Linked DNA regions of Alligator mississippiensis. The protein of the gene in region 1 purifies or fractionates together with the protein of each later gene. This does not show direct contact. Links are inferred from orthologs where the notes say so. Each region holds a gene or a part of one and is shown in the gene's direction. Other genes may lie near its edges.

Region 1 (7,184 bases):
AAGCAATATAAGAATATATTCCTCCCTAGTCAACTGTCCAAGCTTCCACTTCTTTTAAGCTTCCTTTTTGTGTTTAAGCTCACTGAAGAGTTCTCTGCTAAGCCAAGCTGAGCTTCTCTGCAATCACACTGATGGCTCCCCTCCCTCTGTTCCTGGCACTGATCAGCAGCAGATACTTCAAGGAGAAATCCCAGGGTAGAAAACTACAAACTAACTGCACCATTTTCTTCCTCACTCTCATCAGCCAGAGTTTGCCCCAATCTCCGATGCTTGAGAGGTAACAGCCCTTGTAATTTTTTAATCTAATATAACAGGGGATGTTCTGCTGTGAATTCTCTTGTTCTCCAGGTACCTTGTGGCAGTGAGTTCCACACTTAAGTATGCACAGTATGAAAAACAATTTCCTTTCTTCTGTTTCAAATGCCTTTTACTTCCTTCATGCAGGGAGATTAGAAGTGATCTGTGTAAAGGGGGAGCTGATCTGTTCCTCACCCCCCTATTCCTGGGCATAGTCTGGAGTAAAATAGACTCAGCCTTTAAGATGAGACACAAATCCAAGTCAGTTATGTCAATGCAATAGAACAAGACCGTGATTTTGAGCAGTGAAATTACCCAAGACCACTGTCAGCTCAAATAGGACCGGATCTAGAAGGGGCCCCTTTCTCATGCAACAGCTCATGCATGCAAGCAGACACAGTTCTCTCTTGGTATATGATGAAACACATGGCCTTTGTACAGGGGAACCCTTCAGTCAGCTGGAGCCAGTTAGTGCCTTTGATTTTCCAGTGGGTGTCACAGGGCCTGGAGAAGTTAAATTTGTTGCCCCCTCAGAGATAACGGAGTCTGAACAAGGTGTGTTTGAATGCGAGTGGCAATGGAGCTCAATTTGCTCCCAAAATATGTCTTTGCCTGAGACTGCATGCATCCCTCCAGAGCCAGGTGTGGAGGGAGATGATGCTCACCTTCGCACCATGACCCTGCACGCTTTGCTCCTAAATTCTGGCTCCATGGGAGACTCTGTAGAGTGAGCTGGGGCCAAGGACAGAAATTCACCTTAGGCTATTTACTTATACTGTTTCTCATTCTGTGCTATGGGGCACCACCTTATGTATACATACATATATTTCCATATATATTTATTTATTTATTTCCAATAGCCAATTAAATTCCAAATCCAACTGAGAAAAGCTCAATAACTGTGCCTACTGGTATCCATTGCCAATATAACTTCAACCAGGCCAGTATCTAACGTCCTAGGCCTGCAGGCCTCGGAGTTCAGATGTTCCCTATATCCAGACTGGCATCCTACATGCAGTCCTAGGACTGGAAGTTCAGGTGCCCCTGTCACACTTGATTTTAGCCAAAAGGCTGAAAAGCAATTATGTGGTACCACTTTAATAGGGCTCTGGGGCAGCCATGATTGAGCTTGCTTCTAGAAGCACAGCTGGTGCATCGACAATGCTCTCCAGGGACCAGCAGGATCCAGGGGGCAACATGTCTTATACCGATTCCCCATGATCCATACGGAACTGATGGGATCCACAGAAACTTCCCCCCATACCTACTCCCATCTGTCTTCCCCACAAAGGAAGTGTCTGGTGAATGACATGGAGGTTTTTCTTTTATGGGGATTATTTTATCTGGGTGTCAATGGGACCCTCTCTTGCTAACTACCCTCTGCAATCAGCCAAGCACCTTACCTACTGATCACCAGGGATCCTGGTTTTCTCTGATTAAAAAAAATCCCCAATTTTCAGTTTAAAAAAAGTAACCACAAATCCACATTTTTCCATGATCAAAATGAAACCCCACTATATACATACCTATATATTAGTGACATTTCATTTAAATCATGGAAAAATGTGGATTTGGGATTACTTTTTTTTTTAACCGAAAATTGGGAATTTTTTTAAATCAGAGAAAACCAGGATCCCTGCTGATCACTAGCTTACCTACAATCTCTGCCACCAGTGCCTAGCTAACCTGGGTGTGTTTGAAAGATGAGGGCTACCATCTTTGTATGCATCCATCTATCCGGAGTTGCTACGTATTGGACACATCTACACATGTATATTAATGCATATCCCGGCAGATTTTATTGCTCCTGAGTGACTGTTTATACAAGTGCTCAGGACCTCAGCACATTGAGCCAAGTTGGAGCGGTCCCAGCTGGCAAGGGGCCTATGGCCTGGCACTGCTCTGACCCAGCTCGATGTGCTGCAGAAGGGCTGGCAGGGGCATAAGGGTGCTCCAGTACAGGGCTAACTGGCAGGCTACCTCTGGACTGAAGCAGTCTCATGCCCCAACCACCTGGGTCAGCATCCGCACATGCACTGTTATACATGAAAAAACTCCACAACAGGATAATACTTGTATTTATAAGTACTAACCAGCTGTGAAGCTTGTTAGTTTCCTGCAGCCTAATAAGGCCAAACGTGTAGATGCTGAGATGTGTACTGCAGAGCTAATTAGTCTACTCCCCAGTAAATGTCTTGGGTAGATGTACTCACAGAAGCTAAATTTAATCCTGGTTTGAGAAGCTCTTCAGTTTATTTCAGTGAGAAACTGAATCACTGGCCTGGATTTGTATTCCGTTCCCCTCCTTGCTTTGATCACACTCCACTGGTCACGTGATGATTTTGTCAGGAAGTTTGAAAGCGCTGCTGGGTAACATTCATTAAGAGCAACTGAAATAGCTGAAAGCATCATAAAATAGTGAGCTCCGTCTACAATATAGACAGTCTGATCTTTAGCTGATATGTCAGCAGAGCCCCTGGGTTTCAGTAAGCATCTACTGATGTGTACCAAATGATGACCAAATATTTAGCTGCCTGTCAGCTTAAGTCTGTGCAGACCAATTGCCTAAAAGCAGAAACAAAACAAAAGCAGTGGAAGGTAGTGATTGCATCTTGGATTCTTTCAGTGCCGCTCCGGTAAAATGAGTTCCGTCAGATGATGATATTTTGCTTTTCTGATTGCCAAGCACTTTGCAAACATTAACAAATTAAGCTTTGCAACACCCTCAGGAGACAGGAATTATTACACCTGGTTATGCAAGCAGATAAAGCAAGGCCTGGTGTGATGCAAGGACTTGTCCATATGGAGTCACTTGCAGTATCAGGGTCTGGAGGCAGACTCTTGTCTTTATGTGCTAGCCTGTGGTGCTTCCCAGATTCACAGCTGATGAAAGCAGCGTCCCCTTACTTCCTGAGAGTTGAAAACTGCTAAAGAACCAAGAGGGCTCGCCCACCCCTGCCCCATCACGTGCCTATGGGCTTAGGGAGGCCATGGGGTACGCATACCCCTCAGCGCTTTTACTCCTGGCCCTCAAGCATTTCCCCTGGTCCCAGCCGGCCGTTGGAAGGGCTGTTGCCTGTCCGACCTTTAGTGCAGAAGGGCTCTCGGCGGGTTTATCTAGGATTCAGCAGCTGCAACAGCCCAGAGAGGTTGCAAAGTGGCTCCTCCTTCCTGCAGCTGGGGTGGCGGGAGCACGGGCCAGACCACGCCGCTGTCCGTGAGGCGGGCGGCGGCATCGTCTTGCGCAAGGAGTTTAGACGTAGCGGGCGGCAGCGGGCGGTCGGGGATGACTGCGCTGTCCAGAGCACGGAGCTGCCCTGCGGGGAGGCGCGGGGGCCTGCCTGGCACGTCCTGCCGCCCCTCCGCGCCGCGCCGCGTCCCGGCTCCGGCCCGGACACCGCCCGCCCGGGGGACCGCGGAGCTGCCGCCTGCCCTGCGCCTGGCTCGTCGTGCGGGGGGCTCACGCCTGCCAGCATCCTGGGCCCGGACGCCCGCGGCTCGCGCGTGGGGCTGTTCTCGTTTTCTTATTAATACACGTAAAAACGTAAACACACGACAAGGTCCGTCATAACACGCGAAGACACGCCTTCCTCGAACAACAACGATCACGCCTGGTAAACGCATAAACAACTTATAAAAGACCGTCCCGCGCTGCGCACGTGGCGCCACGACCGCAGCACAGACCCCGCCGGCTCCTCCGAGCGGACACGGCGCCTTTAAGGGCGGGGGCGTGTCCCGGTCGCCGCGCCCCTCGGCCTCTTAAAGGGGCCGCACTGCTACCGCCGCCGGCTCGGGGTCGGGTCGGGCTGCGGCTGGGGCGGCGGTGCCGGCGTCTCGGGGCGGCCGCGACAGGCGGGGCCGGGCCGGGCGCTGCGCAGGGGAGCGGAGCGGCGGACCCCCCGTCTCCGTCCCCGCGCACATGATGTACACGCTCACGCGGGGCCCGAGCCGCCTGGCCACGCAGCGCCGGGCAGGTGAGCGCGGCCGGGACGGGAGGGGGTGGTCCGGGGCCGGACGGGGCGCGGACGGCAGCGCTGACCCGGCCGTGTCCGCAGGGCCCCCGCAGCAGGTGGACGGCAGCAAGCTGGGCGACGCGCGATGCCGGCCGCCGGGCGCGTGGCCGCCGCCGAGGTGAGTGCGGGCGGGGGCGGGACTGACCTTGTGCAGAGGTGACGGCTCGTCCTTGCCGCGGCCCCGCGCGGGGGCTGCGGGCGGTGACCCGGGGCACCGCGGCGCCCTCTGCCCCGGGGACCCGCCCGCGGAGGGGGTGAGGCCGGGCACGTGGCCCCGGCCGGGCGCTCCCACGTGCGCTGCCCGAACCCGCGCGGCGGGGCGGCCCTGGCCCTGGCCCTGGCCCGTCCCGGGCTGAGCCGGGCCCCGCCCCCACCACGGGCAGGGGCCCTGAGCCGCAGCCCCGCGGGCGCCCCCGCGCCGGCCGCCCGGCAGATAAGGCCTGGGCCTCGCCTGGGCTCTGGAGATAAGAGCGGCCCGGGCCAGGCTGCGCCCGCGCCCCTCGGCCTCGCGGCGGGCACCGGGGCCGCGGGGAGCCCCGCACCTCCGCCGCCCGCTGCCCCGCGCCGGCTGCCAGCCCGTGCCAGGGGGCAGGGAAGGCTGCAGGCGCAGGAGGTGGTGGGCAGGCAGCAGGTGCAGCTCTTGAGCGTGGGAAGTAAAGGGAATTGAGGTAACAGCAGTCCTGCCAGGCCCCAGCCCCATCTCCGCTCCTGTGCCTAGACTTGGGTGCCAGCTCTGGGCCGCCCTTGTAGCCCGAGATGCTCGGCTGCCCAGATCTGCAGTCAGATGGTTGTGAAGCTTCCAGGGGGCCGGGGTCTGCGAGGGCACAAGGGTGCAGCTGTGGGGAGCTGACTCCCTGCAGGACAAGGTCAAACTGTGAACTCCAGCTCTGCTCCCTCCTCCATACCTGGGATGCTCACCCACGTGGTCTCAGGCAGGCGAATGTACATACCTTTCATCTAGGAAGTTGCCTGCTGTGAGCAGTGCAAAGTGGGACTAAAGTGCTCTTATTTCCCTCTGACCTCACTGCACCTGGAGCACTTGGCATCCCTGAGACTCGTCCACCAGGACCTTTTTCCTCCCAGTATCTGCAGCTTTTGTCCCTATATCACAGCACTCTATTCCACAGGGTGAGAATACAATGAGAAAACTGTAGGAGCTAAGTGCTTGGAAGTCAGGAAATTGCAACATCAGTGCTGCACCCACAGGTTTACCTCTGGCCTACTGGAAACCTGTGTAACTGTACAGCTGTCTGAGTACAGGTTCACACTTCTCAAACAGCAAGTGGTCAAAAGCATGCAGTATTCCACTTTTACAGTGGTTCTGCTGTGGGATAAAGCCGAATTGACACGTAGCTATCCGTTAAGGTTACTGTAGAAGTTGCTCAGAGAGAACCTCCCAATTAAAGGTAGATTTCTGGTTACTGGATCTGACTCTTCTAGTTTGTATAATCCAGATAACTTTGTTACATCCTGCATATGCAGTTTATCCTCTGCACATCCTCCTTCTCCCCCATACATGCTATATACTAATCTATAGTCTTGCAATGAAGTCTGTTCCTCTGCTAATCAGATTTTGTGGGACAAGCTACACTTCCATGGGTGGATATACAAGCTAGGACACCTGCTGTCCCCTGCGATGTGACGTCTTCAAGGAGCTTACAAACATTTCCCTGGTGTGGGACATGACTTCCTAGATGAAACATCTGGAGGAAATTCTGCTCATGACCATCTACTTTCTTCTCTATCTCCTTATTTGCAACTTCAGAACATCCCTATGGCAAATACTTTTTTTTTTTTTTAAACATGTAAACTTGGAGAACACACATAGATATAGTGGTCTTTTTAATGGTATGTAGTGGCTGCAAACAGGGAAGAGGCGCTATTATGATCAGCCATCCTTCCACAAGCTACCAGTGGTTCTCCAAGCAGAGTTTGGGAGCAACTGGTCTATGTGTTTCTATTCTTTCACTGTCATTCACTGATATAATCTAGGTAACTGTTTTAGCTCTGATTGTTCTTCAGGTTGGATTTTTCTTTCTCTCTGCAGCCTGCAAAAATGGGATGACAGTCTGAGCTACAGCAGATGTTGAGCCCACCTATAATAATGAGGGTCCCTCTCTACAAGCTGCTGTGCCCCTCCTTGGCAGTGTCAAATGCTCTTGACAGCCACTGAAATCAACAGGTGTTAAGGCTACAGAGGCCTGTCTAAGGGTTGGCTACATAATTTTCCCTTTAGGGTCTAATCCCAAGCCCACTGGCATTGATGGAAAGGGCTGTAATAATCCTTTGTGCTCCTACAGACCTCTTCATTCAAGAACTTTGAAAGGCACCATAGAACTGGTGAACTCAGCCTTCCACTACCCTTGTCACACCAGAAACATGTGTTTGACATATGAACATCTTCTGTTGGCTGCCATCCTGCAGGCAGAGGCAAATCCTTGATCAGTTTGACAGGATTCTTGTTATCAACAATTGATTAGTTCTCAATTTCATCTGTCAGATACACCCACCTAGCTTCCATTTTCCCTGGTGCAGAGGGGTTGTCTTGGATATCACCTATTTCCCTTGGAGCTTCTTTAAATAGGCCCCAGCATTTCACTGTGACAGGCTGCTCCCAAAAGATTCTGCATTTGTGCCCTTTTTATTTTCTCCTCTTTATGGTGTAAAAACAAAAGCCTGAAAGTTCTTAATATTTCTTCAGAAACATCAGGCAGATCTGTTTGCAACTACCTGGCTTTTGTGGAGGCCTCCTTGAATAAAACATGGGTCAGAGTGTTCTTCAGCTCTTCACTGAAAAGGCTGGAAGGATTGAGCAGAGTTTAAAACTAGAAACAGAAGTGTAACTACCCTGAGCAAAAATTATATCTCCTCTAT
Region 2 (7,118 bases), on another chromosome or scaffold:
GACACATGCAGAATGGGCAAGGGTTTGTTTCTGCTTCACAGTCGCCTTGTCACTGAGAACTATCCTTAAAATCCTGAGCAAGACAATGATACCCAAAATTGTTCATCTCTTGAAAATGTATCTGATCATGATCATATATGTTAGAGCTGCTCATGCCCCTGTAATTTCTTGTTGATAGTCATCAATTCTGAATGAAAACTGATTTTAAAGTAGCTTTAAAAAGAATGGTCTAACCTAGGACTCGAATATCAGGGCCTGCGAATGCATGATTTGCTCTTGAGGATAAATCATTGTGTTCTTCAACAGCTGCTTAACTTGGCAGAATAAGACTAGCATAGTCTTGAACTCCTCTCCCCACAGCTAGATTGCTACGGTACCTGGTAGATGTGTTGTAGCTGACTTAAAGTATCCTTGGGTACTTAAAGACGCTGCCGTACAGAGGTTTTTAAAGCCACCTAGAGACCAGCGTCTTGACTAATCAGAAAGATTTCAGTAGTGCATAGCACAAAAGCAAATCCAATAGCTATCAAGCGAGTCAGCCTAGCAGCAAGGGAACACTTTTCCAGCGGTACAAGGATTATAATGGGGAGAAATATATATATATATTTTTTTTCTTTTTTTTTTTTCCTCCAATGCGCAGATATATAATATGCATGCATGGAGAAAAGAAAATCAAAATAAATGAAACTTGTAGCCTGCTCCAAAACTCCAGGTTCTCAAACTGCATTTGGAGACCTCCCAGGTGATCCATTTTGCTGACTCTGAAGCATCACCAGTCTTCAAGCACTGGCACTAACTCTGTCCAGGTCTGAATTCAGCCATTAGAGTTTATGGAGGCTTTTTTTTTTTTTTTTTTTGGACTGAGCTCACTGGCCATCTCCTCTCCATTCTTGAGTCAGCATTTTTTTGGGGAAAAGCTCAGTTGTGATCAAACCAGGAGGAATCGCCAAAATGGGAAAGGTTTCTGTTGATTTAGTGCTCTTGCTACAAGCTGAAGTGTGATCAGAATTAAAGTATATTGGGGAGGAGATGAGCTACCATCAATTTGAAGCCCTGCATGGAGGTAGGGGAAGCTAACCTTCTAGGCAAGAGGGATGCAGAGAACATGACCAATATACCAAGTGATAGAAATTATCTGCAGTGAAGATGTAGGACTCCAGCAAGGTTTTCCCATCAAAAGCCTTGGAGTGGGGTCGCAACAGGACCACTGACCCTCTTAAAGGCACTCGCTACGGGATTTTGGTAGACTTCACATGGAAGGAGGATTCGCTTGTCTTCATAAACCCCCTTGTGGATGTTGTCACTGAGGGTAAGTTAATTTTAATGGCTTTGTTGATGGCAGTCACTTATTTCCTTTTTTAATCTATTGGTATATTTTGTATATATGTGTCTTTTAATATACATGTATTTTTATTTTTACTTGGTCTCCATGCACAGTACAGTAGGGCAGAGAAGCAAGGGTAATAGACAATGGAAAGCAAACACAGGGCGCAGCAGTGCAAAGAACCACGCTGAAAGGGAAAACCAGTCCAACCGCAATCACGCAGCACTTAATGAAGTGCTGACAAGAGACTTCATGTTTATTTGCAAAACTGCAGCTCAACTATTGAACGCTGCCCCAAAGCTGTTAAATAAAATGTATCCCCATGTTGGGGTGCTCAGATTGGATCTCCTGGCAGGAAATCTATCAGGATTTATACAGTAACCTGAAATTGTATGTGGTTAGAATAATCTAGCATGCAAAAACATGAGGTAAAATGGCTAGTATTGGATAATCCTCGTGTGCCAGATTCCATCCAAGTGCATCTGACCCTTTATTTATCTCGCGTGCCTCGACTTTAAAATGACACCAGTATACACACAAATTGGACAGTCTTTTCTAGCTCCAGCTAACTGGAAAGGTCCAGAACATGCCTGGTCAGGAACCTAAAAGTCCCTCGACTGCAATTTGTATTGTAGCGAGATGAGGCCTTAACGCTACAGTCCTGTACGTAAGGCAGGGCTGGACACAGGAATGGGTAAACCGGGGGCTGGACAGAAAGGGGATCCAAAAATGGTAATTTAAAAATTATTATTATTATAATATCATCTCTGGCAAAGGGGGGGGCCTGATACTAAAAGTCTGCCCGGGGCTGCCAGGAGCCTAGGTGCAGTGCTGCCTTCCGGCAGCGTCCTGAAGAGTTTAGCCAGCTGTAGGCCTACTTGTTTCTTTATTTAAAAGTGCATGGTTCGACTAACGTTCAAGAGGCTTTCTAATAGCAGGCAGCGGGTGGCTGTACGTAGCGTAGTGGGTGCAGACGGACCGAGTTCTTCCACAGAATTGTTTAATTTTGTGGTAAACGTTGCTAAAAAACCTTTGTCAGCGGTAACTTTATCTCCTTCCAAGCTGCACGAATGCTGTCCCTGGCTTTCGATTTTTGTGGCCAAGAAATGACTAGCTGGGCATAAAATGGACTAAAGGGGAGAATTCAAGTGGAGTTTCTTGAAACGTTGGCTCCGCACGCTGCGAGCGTTTCCAATTAAAGAATTCCTGCTCCGGTGTCCATTTCGGCTGGCATTTCCTGTCCTCCAGCCAGTAATGTGTCACCACATCATTATTCAGGCCTGCAAGGTAAAACAAAGCAAGAAACTTAGGAGCCAAATGTACGAGGTGGGGGGGGGGGGAGAAGCTAATTTTAAGAAGCTATTAAATGTTGGCGTGTTCCTTGCGTGCTACCACCCACAGCTCCCCTAACCCTACGGGAAAGCAACCGCTTTGCGAGCAAGGTGTATAAATAATGCCTGCCTCGTGGCATAATTCCTCTTTATTAGACTCGAATCCTGGGGGATCACGAGTCTCGACGAACGCCGCCGGACTTCTCGCGGGTTTGGCTATCCGTCCACTCGGCGGCAGTCCGGCAACTACACGAGCTCACGCTAATTACGGACGCTGACTCCTTAAAAATTATTTAAGCGGGACAGCCCCAATTTTTTTTCTCGTACGTATGAATTAGCCGCGCTCGGAGAGAACTAGTAACCAAAGTCAGTGCAACCAGTGCCACCAATGCATCCAGCCTGAGACCACGAGTTAAAAACGCCAGGCTTATCATCGGACGTAGCGAGGATGCTGACGACGATGATGATGATGTTTGTTTTGAGGTGAATTGGCCTGTCAGGCTCTACAGCAAGATTAAACACTGCTTAAAAATAATAGCCCTGGGGAACGTGAGCCCTGAAAGCTGGCGATCCAGGACGATAATCCCCGCTGAGCCGGTTTGGCTTTCAGCTGGAACCGGAGGTATTTGGTGACCGAGCGCCGCAGCCGGTGTCCGACACCAGAACCGGGACAAGCCCGCGCCCGTCCCCGCCAAGGGCTGCGAGGCGAGGCGAGGCGAGGCGGGCGAGTGATGGAGGCCGCTCTCCGGTGGCAAAAGGGGCAACTTTTGCCCCAGACGACGGGGCAGAGACGCGCGCTGATGTCCGAGGTGTTTGTGAGTGACTCGCGCCCCGGCCCCGGCCCCGAGGGGGAAGCCGGGCCCCGTGCTTCGTGCTTCACGGGTGGGTGGGCCGCGGGGAGCCTCGTGGGCCGCGTCCGGGCCCGTGCGTGCGCGGAGCCTGGCGCGCATGTGGGGGAGGCCTGTGCCTGAGGGGCGCGGCGCCGGGGGCGGCGTGCGGCCTAGCCGGGCCCAGCGGCTCCCCCGCGGGCGGGCGGGCAGCCGGGCCGGGCCAAGCCTCGCGGGAGCCCCCGGCTCCTCCCCGCGCCTCACGCGGCCGCCTCACCGCCCGGACCCTTCCGACTCGCCCCAAAGAGTCCGGCCGGCGCCCCCCGCCCGCCTGCCTCTCCCCCGGGCGGGCGCGCTGCCTGCCCCGCGAGCCCCTCGCTCGCTCGCTCGCTCGCTCCGTGGAGCCGGGCCGGGCGCGGGCGGGGCTGCGCTCGGCGAGGCGAGGCGAGGCGGGGCCGGGCCAGGCGGGCGGCCGCAGCGTGCCGCGTCCCCTCCCCCGCGGATCCCTCCGCCCCGCGCCGCCCGCCGCCCGCCCGCCCGCGAGCCCGCCCGCCTGGCCCCGGCTCCGGCTCCGAGTCGCGCTGTGGCAGCGAGCGGCCGAGGCGGCGGCAGGAGCGGCGCGGCCATGTCCCTCAAGCAGCAGCAGCAGCAGCAGGCGGCGGCGCAGGCCCCCGGCGGTGCCCGCAAACCCCCCGGCGGCGGCAGCGGCGGCGGTGGAAGCGGCGGCCCCGGCTCCGGCTCCGGCTCCGGCTCCGGCCTGCCGGCGGCGGCGACACCAGGCGGCGGGCGGCAGAGCGCGGGCAGGTGGGTGCGCTGCAGCGCGGCGGCGAGAGGCCATTTTCCCGGGCAGGGCCGGGCCGGGCCGGGCCGGGCCGGGCCTGCCTCGCCTCTGCCTCTGCCTCCGCCGGGGCCATGTTGCGAGCGGGGCGCCTCGGGCCCGGCCTAGGCCGCGCGGCCTCCCCCCGCGCCCCGCGCCGAGGTGAAGCTGAAGGACGGGCCGGGCAGCGCGGCGTCTCCCCGCCGCTCCTCTGCCGGCTTATCCCCCCCATAGCCGCGGGGGCTCCCGCAGCGGGGGCAGGCGTCGTCTCCCACCCCGCGCCGCAGCCCGGCCCCGGTGCTGGGGTTGCGGCCCCGCCGCCGCCGCGGAGGACGGGCACCTGCTCCTTTCACTTAGGGGCGGGCACGGCCCCTCCATCCGTGCTAGCCGGCCGGCCGGCCGGCTCCTGACGTTTCTGCGGCGATTCGGTGCGAGTATCTCGTGGGGTTGGGTTGGGTTGGGTTGGGGGCGTTCCCGCCTGGACCTATTTATTAGATGGTTCCCTTTTAAAAAGGGGCAAAATCCAGGTGCATGAGAAGTAGATGGTCCCTCCTTGACACCAGACACAACCCAGGTGCGTGAGGAGCAGATGGTCCCTCCTCGACGAGCAGGGCGGCGTTCGAAACGCTTCGCCGTGTTTCGGGGCGCGCGCCCGCGGGACGTGGTGCCGGTCTCTTCCCTGCGATGTAAGCGGCGCGAGGAACAAGCGCGCGGCCCCCGTGGCCAAACGTGACCGGCGGCGGGCGGCTAGTCCGCGTCCTCCTCATATCTTCAGCAGATCTTCGTACCCGGCGCGGTTTTATCGACGTGTAGGCAGGACGGGTGACCCGCGAACAGGCACCGTGCGAAGGGACGCGTGGTTATTTCTCCGCGTTTCTCCCAGCGGGTTTTTTTGGCGTTTGTTGACACGTTCCCCCTCCAGCTGGGACCTGTTTTGAGGTGCCTACAAGTAGAGCCGCTGGCGTGGCGCAAACTCCCCATTTTTAATCTTTTTTTGCTGTCGTAGTACTTGGGGTCGGGAGGAACCGAAACAGATCATCAGTCCGACCCCCTGTTTCTGGACTGTCTGTGTAACTGGGCCCAGTAGTCTTTATTAAAAAGGAAACGCGGTGAAAGTACTTGTAAAAATAAATGAATAAAATAATAATAATAGTTCTCACCAATAAAGAGAGAGAAGCTGAAACATATTCACAGATGTTAGATTTCACAGACGTTGGGGCTGGAAGAGGCCTTACAAGATCACCGGGTCCCAGTGAATTCGGGGTTTTCCAGCTTGCTTCTCGCGGTTCAGGCAGAGTCTCTGCATTTGCCCTTTCCGCGGCGAAAACTGGGTAGTCGATCTTGCTTTTCTCCAGTCTCCTGTAAAAGGAGAGCAAGATGGAAGATGGCTGTCCCACCTGGATGCAGCTGGTCAGGAGTATTGGGCATGACCTCTCCCAGGTCCTGCGGAGGAGATGGCCGCTTTAGAAATGAAACCCACTTGCGGAGAAAATCAGAAAGCTAAACCATCCCTTTATCCCGATGAGCCAATGTGCACAAGCGTGTGTGGGAAGCAACTTCCAGTGACCACTAGACTCCACCTTTGTTACAGTAACTACTTCACAAGACATCAAGGGAACTATTCATACTTCTGTTTTCATTTGAAACCCCCCATATGCTGCACATTGCATCAGTAGCTACTTCTCATAGTTTCACAGCTGTCAGGGGCTGGAAGGGACCTCGCAGATCATCGGGTCCAGCCCCTGCTCTAGGCAGGAAGACCACTGGGGTCAAGTGACCCCAGCGAGGTGGCTGGCCAGTCTCCACTTCCATAGATTTCATAGACATTAGGGCTGGAAGGGACCTTGGAAGATCTTCAAGTACAGCCCCCAGCCCCTTTAGGGAAGGGTAAGAAGGCCTTTGCTCAGAGGACCTGTTTAGTGAATTTTGTCCTACCCCTGATTTTAGTACCTTTCCCAATGTCACCCTTTCTCTGCCTCACTTCTTCCCGATCTCTAAGACCCGAATTATTTCCGTGCTTCCACTTCTCAAGGCTGCTTCAAGGTTTAACTCGATTTTTAAAGTATGGTGCATTCCTCTGAGAAGAAGAGAATTGCACATGTAAAAGAGTTAGCAGGGATACAGGGTCTCGGAGGCCCAAGTTAGTAATAAACCACAAATATGAAATGGCACAGAATTTTCTGAGTAGCCCCAAATTAAATTAAAGTAACAATGTTAAATTATCGGACAAATAAATGGGTAACTTGTAGGTCATTTTAAATAGCGACTAATGCTCATAGATAGTGATTAGTATGGTGTTGCTTGCATACTTTCTCGTAAGCTTTTTAATCAACAGCATGAGCCCCTGACCTGTAGTAATTATGAGGAAGGCGCGTCGATGCCTGTTATAGCAGCTGTCAGAGAATGTGTACTGTAAATCTGACCTGGTGTTCTCTCTTCTCCATATACATGGAAGGGGTGCTAAAAGAGGACTAGCTCTTGACATTATTAATGTATTTGTAGAAAGTCTAATGAAAAGCCTCTCCCTCTTTTTGAGGGGGGAGGCTTTAATTTTGCACCTGCAATATGTGTGTATTTTTATGAAGGCAGTCTCATTTTGTAAAATACTGAATTGAAATGATGTAGGTAGGCTTTCACAGAGGCTCTGAGTGGATGCAGGCCCCAACTGAGAACCTGAAAAAGTACAGTTGTCTAAGGTATTTATCAAACAAAAGAAACTGGTTTGCAGTTTCTGGGTGATTATTTTGCACAGAAAAGCCTCTGGAGCCAACTCCTCCCATCAATTGTTTCCGCAGCCTTAGTAATAGCAATCAATGCCC

Evidence for each region. The genes of interacting proteins can lie anywhere in the genome.
Region 2: the proteins of MCRIP2 (region 1) and ATXN2 purify together in Homo sapiens (co-immunoprecipitation; 3 studies listed by BioGRID and IntAct, with this or other methods). This does not show direct contact. The link is inferred for Alligator mississippiensis from reciprocal best matches to the Homo sapiens genes MCRIP2 and ATXN2.

Annotation. Positions count from the first base shown.
Region 1 is NC_081836.1:27,208,644-27,215,827, forward strand, and holds the start of MCRIP2 (MAPK regulated corepressor interacting protein 2), read left to right. Parts: upstream 1-4,132; 5' UTR 4,133-4,216; coding exon 4,217-4,271; intron 4,272-4,352; coding exon 4,353-4,428; intron 4,429-7,184.
Region 2 is NC_081833.1:3,641,487-3,648,604, reverse strand, and holds the start of ATXN2 (ataxin-2), read left to right. Parts: upstream 1-4,016; 5' UTR 4,017-4,107; coding exon 4,108-4,286; intron 4,287-7,118. UniProt on the Homo sapiens protein: Involved in EGFR trafficking, acting as negative regulator of endocytic EGFR internalization at the plasma membrane.